2 linked regions of the Ovis aries genome follow. The protein of the gene in region 1 interacts with the protein of each later gene in a pairwise test. Links are inferred from orthologs where the notes say so. Each region holds a gene or a part of one and is shown on either strand. Other genes may lie near its edges.

Region 1 (2,487 bases):
GAGCGACAGGAACTGACCAAGTCCTGCAGGGCTAGAGCGGCCTAGGGATACCCTGAGCACTCTCCGCGTTACCGGTTTTTAATAAAAGTGCTGAAGAGCCGTTGGCCTCTGTTGTGGGGGCGCGGGGAGCCACAGAAGGGTGTGAGCCCGCGGGGAAGTGGGGTCTCCCAGGCCGGCGAGAGGGAACCAGATGCTGTGGGAGGGCTCCGTGAGAACCGCTTTCTGCCAGGGTCCTGGGGTCCCCATCGTCTCCAAGTCTCCAGGAAGTCAAGCCCCAGTGTCGCCGCCCCACCCCCCTGCCCTCTTCTCTTGGCTCTGGGCTCGCGAATCCGTGCCTAATGTCAAGGAGGTGCCCCATAAGGGTTCGTTCCGCTTCACACACCCCACCCCCACCCGTCCTCGCCCCAAGAGGTCCCAGATTTGGAGAAGGGCAGGATGGATGGTGATGCTATGTCTCCGAAGCAGAAGCTCAGAGAGTGAGCAGTGAAAGGAGCTGCGGGTCGGGACGCATTAACTCTTTATTGAGCCCCTCCCCCGCGGCGCCACGCCGGGCTGGGTGGTACGGTGGTCTCTGCTCAGGTCGTTCACCATCCGAGCGCCAGGACCCGGGTGCGCAGGATCCGCAACAGGAGCGAGTCAGTGCTGGCCTGTGCCTGGGAAAGAAAGCTCAGTGGGCGGGCGCTCCCAAGAAACAAGGCAATTCCGAAGCCCAGCTCACTCGTTTCTCTAAGCAGGAGGGTTTCTCCTTCACTTCCCCACCTAACCCGGTCTCCCACCAGCCCAGAGAGATGGATAGTGTTAAAGAAAGTTGTACTTGGGCCGGCGCGCTAGAGGGCGCGCCCCTCCTGGTTGAGGTTGGGAGTAGGGGCTCCAAGCGATCCCTAATGCCCCCGAGAGTACGATGGCCCGACGGTGGAAGGGGGTCCCCGCCAGGCCCCGCCGATGTCCACACTCACTTTCCCGCCCATCCGTCCGCTCTTCCTCTGCTCCTGCGTTGCCCTCTTCCCCTTCTACCGCGACCTCCTCATCCTCTTCCTCTCCAGAAGTGCCTAGGCCAGGAGAAGGCTGGGTGAGTTGGGGTCCCTTATTCTCTGGCCGTCTTACCCCCATCCCTCCCAGACCCAGAGGGTCTGGACGCCCAGTCCTAGCGGCTGGCCGCTCCCTCCCATCCTGGCTTCCTCACCTGGCTGGAAGTCAATGGTCCTCAGCATTTCCGCCACATGCTCCACGCTCAGGGTGAATTGATCCATTCTTTCATAGCCCGGCTCCGGCCGGCCGGCCAGCTCCACCTTCGACATCGTCCCGACCCTGCAGCAGCCCAGCGGCTCAGCTAGAGACTCCCAGCACCACTACCCCCGCTTCCCACCCTTGTCAGTGGAGTCCCCGCCCACCCCTTCCTCTCCCTTCCCGCTTCACCTACTCACTTATTGATCAACTCCTTGGCCTGCTGCAGGGAAGAAAGGAGGGTGAGAGTAAGCACTGTGCCAACGTCCAGCAATATCCCATTTCTGATGCCCACCACTGTCCTGCGGGTTAGGGGGGATGCATGTCCCAATTTGTTAAGGAAAAAAATGGATAGAGAGGGTGACTTGCCCAAAGCCACGGGGCAAGTAGGAGCCAGAGGTAAGACTTGAACCCGGCTTCCCAGTGCAAAGGCCCCCACTCCAGCCACTAGGTGGCCTGCCACTGCCCGCCCCCCTCCCCCCAGGGCCCACCTGCAGGTAGAGTGCCATCTGCGGCTCCTCCATGGACTGGATGGCAGACTCCACCAGCTTAGAGGAGGCCTCCAGGTGGTCTCCGTACTGGCGGATGAGGCCCCTGACTCGCTGCAGCTTCTCCTCCTGCTCCCGGGCCAGCGCCTGCAGCAGCTCACCCTTCCGCTCCTCCAGCACTGCACACAGGCCCTCAAACCTCTGGTTCAGCAACTGCTTCTGCCTCCGGCTGTTTTCCTGAAAAACCAGGAGTAAGGATGAGACCTCACAGCTGGGAGAGTACCAGGCTACTTGTCCCACTCCCCACTTAATGGCAGTCACGGGGAGCCAAGAAGAGATGTGACCCGTCAATTACAACCACAAATTAGTGGCAGAGACCGGACTCCACCCAAGGGCTGCTGGTTCCCAGATCTTTTCAGTAATAATACTGATATATACTTTGTTGAGGTTTAATTGACATATAACATACTAGCTTCAGGTGTACAACATAATGATCCAATATTTGTATATGTTGTGAACGGATCACCACAATATGTCTAGTTAACATCCAGCACCATACATAGTGGACAAAAATTTTTCCCTGTGATGGGAACTTTTAAGATCTACTCTCTCAGAAAATAACACTATATATTTAAAGGAGTTTCATTGAGTGCTGCTGCCTAATTCTCTGACTCTGGTTTTTGTTTGTATTATCTCACTTAATTCTCAAAAAGATCCATGGAGGTAGCCATCATATCATTCTCATCATCACTCTTTTACGTAGTTAAAAACAAGC
Region 2 (3,500 bases), on another chromosome or scaffold:
ACCTGAATCATGCTGACATTTCCATTTTCAATTTAAATCCGGACATTTTGGTCTTATTTTCCTCTCACGGAGATTCTGAATTCAAGTATGTAGGCTTTTATGATTTTTTTTTTTTTTTTTTGGCTATGTGGCTTGCAAGATCTTAATTCCTTGATCAGGGATTGAACCCAGGACCACGCAGTGACAGCACTGATTCCTAACCACTGGACCACCATCAAGTACAGAAATTGCATTTCCCATTGAAGTCTGCCTGCATTAGTCGCTTACACTCTCACATAAGCTCTTAGAGGGGTTACCCTCCACAGGGTACGGACAAGAGCTGCCCCCACATTGCCATAGATGGGAATTCACTCAATACTGCAGACTGAGGTGGGGACCCTTGATTGTTAATCCTCTTTACTCACAGTAGCTCAAGCCAGAGCTCTGTTTTTAGAGGGAAGGTTTCTGTGTTTTGTGTGTGGTGTGAGCTCCCACACATGAAATGCCAGCCACTTGTTTTCAGTTCGCTGCTCAGAGGCAGCCCTGAAAACCACTGTTGTGAGAAGTGTCACCTTTCACACATAGTTGCGTGGTGATGAGTGCTCTCCTTCTTGTATTTTTGCAGACTGTGGAAGGTGTTAAACGAGAGATCTTTCCAAACCTGAAGGAACTGATCTCCAAGTTTGAAAAGCCAAATCAAGGACTGATGTTTCACCTCGTAAACCCAATAAAGAGAACCAGATCCTGCCTGAGATGGAGAAGATCGAAGATAGAGTTGGATGGTATTTATGGTAAAAACTTTCATAGGGGGCCCAGACAAGAGCCTTAGTCCCACTTCTACTACAGAATCCATACAGATAACTGCTCCTTTCTATGATGTTAGCTCTAGAAAGCCTCATCCTGCGAATAGCATTTTTCTATCTTGTTAGGAAGCAGTGCCTTCATGCTCCTGGTGGTGGCAAACGCACAGAGCTCTCTGTGCTCAGGCAACCCAGGGAAAATAGTGGTCCCCGGGCATTCCATGCTGCGGCTGCTGCTGCTAAGTCGCTTCAGTTGTGTCCGACTCTGTGCGACCCCATAGACAGCAGCCACAAGGCTCCTCTGTCCCCGGGATTCTCCAGGCAAGAATACTGGAGTGGGTTGCCATCTCCTTCTCCAATGCATGAAAGTGAAAAGTGAAAGTGAAGTCTCTCAGTCGTGTCCAACTCTTAGCGACTCCATGGACTGCACCCTACCAGGCTCCTCTGTCCATGGGATTTTCCAGGCAAGAGTACTGGAGTGGGGTGCCATTGCCTTCTCCCAGGCATTCCATGAGTCAACTTCAAACTCACCCTGTGACCTTGTGCCAATCACATATTTGGGAATAGATGGCCAAAAAGCAGAATTTTCAAATAAGAAAATTGCTTCAACTTCCTTCTCCAAGCCTCATCCTGTTACATTTTGCTCAATATTTGCTAAGCATTCATTTATGTGGTGTTAGTGGACAAATTGGGCTTTCCCGGTGGTCCTAGTGGTAAAGAACCCGCCTGTTATTGCAGGAGACATAAGAGATGTGGGTTTGACCCCTAGGTCTGTAAGATGCCCTGGAGGAGGGCATGACAACCCACTCCAGTATTCTTACCTGGAGAATCCCATGGACAGAGGAGCCTGGTGGGCTACAGCCCATAGGGTCGCACAGAGTCAGACATGACTGGAGTGCCTTAGTAGGGAGCAGGGGGCTAATTATTTCAGATACACCCCAAGAGTTATCAAGCCATGGTGGGAAATGAGAGTGCAGAGGATCAGTAAATCTGAGTGCACAGGATCCAGGTCATATCCCAAGCAGTGACTCTTGTGTACACCCCTTGAAATCTGTTAGCAGAAAAGAATCTAGTATCCATCAGTCACAACATAGTTCGAATTTAGCTCAGACTTCCTGAGACATTTACAGTTTAACCCTGTTTTCTCAAGGTGGAATGTATGGTTAGAGCCCCATTAAAGGGATTTCAGTCCTCAGTGGGCAGGTGACGTAATGGGAGCAGAGTGCTAGCTAGGGAGCAAGGAGGGGAACAGAGGGTTCCAGGAAGTCTGCAGTCACCCCATACCCATTGTACTCTGTCTACAGCCTCGCTGCCCTTTAGACTGCCAGAGAAAGCTTCTCACCTCCCCAAGACTGAACACAGTTTTTTAATGAGAAAACAGCCCTCCCCTCCCATTGTTTCTGTCTCCCTCCCCCAGGCAGAGGAGTGTGTACCCCATCACAGAGTTGCTTGCTATAGTTATAGCTGCAGATGTGGTCCCATGGCCATTTTCTACCATAACTTACAGAAAGAAATAAAAATACAAAGAATAAAAGGGGGGCAGAGGAGCAACCTAGGGATGTACTCGTGCTGCAGTCCTTAGGCAAACCCTGATGAGCTGCTCGGGGTGCTTGAGGGTGGCGGTAGTATTTGTCTCAGGGATAATAAAATAACCACAAATCCCAAGAGGAGAACCCTTTGGAGTTCATTCCAAGAGCTGAGCGGGAATCTCGCCACACCAGTTGTCCAAGCTCGGGCAGCCTTGGCAGAACGAGCTCCCAAATCCTCAGCCATTAAGGGGGAAGGAACTTCTTCTGAGCTGCTCATCGTCTCCCCCGCCCCCGTTCCCTTGGCCACCTCAGAACAAGCCTCACGTGTTCTCACCCTCAGGGCGGCACAGGTTCTCTGCTGGTGAGTGGAGGCATCTGGTGCTGGAAACTCTTGTCCTTGACTTATAAACAGGCCCCCTATGTTGCCAGGAGAGCTCCCTGTGGTGCCCCAGCTCTTGAAGGTGTCACTCTGCTGTGGCATCAAGACCACCCTGTGCCTGGGCAGAGGGCTTCTTTCCCACGAGAGGTGTTGGTCAGGGTGACTCCTGGGTGCAGAGCCTCACGGCTGGTCTCCTTTTCTCCCCAGAGAACAGTGGCAGCGACTATGTGGATGTCCTGCCTTGAAGGGATGGAGACTGGATGAAGCGCTTACAGAAGAGATGGGTGACAGCTCTCGCCAGCGATCCTGCTTCTCCTGCAGGTGTGGGTCTGGAAGACCAAACTCTAGGGGACAATTTAGACTCTCCTGTTCTGAGTGACTGAAGATGTTTTGTTCACCAGCTGCAGAGAAATCAGTCCCCTTGCCCTGCCTCCCATGCTTACCAAACGAGGAGCTTCAAAACCCCATTTCCCCTCCCACTGTTCTTTCTTGGAATAGGACCACCTGAACCTATTCTTGACTTGTTAAAGGTACTACCACTACAAGACAGTTGACATCTGGTCAACTGGGAGAGAAGAGAGTGCTGGTGTCTACTTTGGAGCCTGAGTTCCAGTCATGATGATGTGACTGCAGACAAACCACTTCCTCTTTCTAGGCCTGTTCCTTCATTGAAAAACAAGTGGCTGGGCAGAGGACAGCCGATGCCCCAGCCTCTTTGCTGAAGCTGGTTGAGTCAGGTGGCGTTGGGGAGCCCCTGAGTGATGGACGTGTATACTGGATCTCAGACTCCCAAAACAGCCAACACATTCTCTG

What was found. The genes of interacting proteins can lie anywhere in the genome.
Region 2: the proteins of TRIM54 (region 1) and SH2D1B interact in binary tests that used the Homo sapiens proteins (3 or more experiments, as listed by UniProt). The two-hybrid records come from large-scale screens. The link is inferred for Ovis aries from reciprocal best matches to the Homo sapiens genes TRIM54 and SH2D1B.

Annotation. Positions count from the first base shown.
Region 1 is NC_056056.1:34,380,722-34,383,208, reverse strand, and holds the end of TRIM54 (tripartite motif-containing protein 54), read right to left. Parts: intron 1,950-2,487; coding exon 1,716-1,949; intron 1,448-1,715; coding exon 1,425-1,447; intron 1,309-1,424; coding exon 1,184-1,308; intron 1,050-1,183; coding exon 957-1,049; intron 654-956; coding exon 637-653; 3' UTR 501-636; downstream 1-500. UniProt on the Homo sapiens protein: May bind and stabilize microtubules during myotubes formation.
Region 2 is NC_056054.1:113,921,963-113,925,462, reverse strand, and holds part of SH2D1B (SH2 domain-containing protein 1B), read left to right. Parts: intron 1-604; coding exon 605-770; intron 771-2,894; coding exon 2,895-2,932; 3' UTR 2,933-3,500. UniProt on the Homo sapiens protein: Cytoplasmic adapter regulating receptors of the signaling lymphocytic activation molecule (SLAM) family such as CD84, SLAMF1, LY9 and CD244. In SLAM signaling seems to cooperate with SH2D1A/SAP.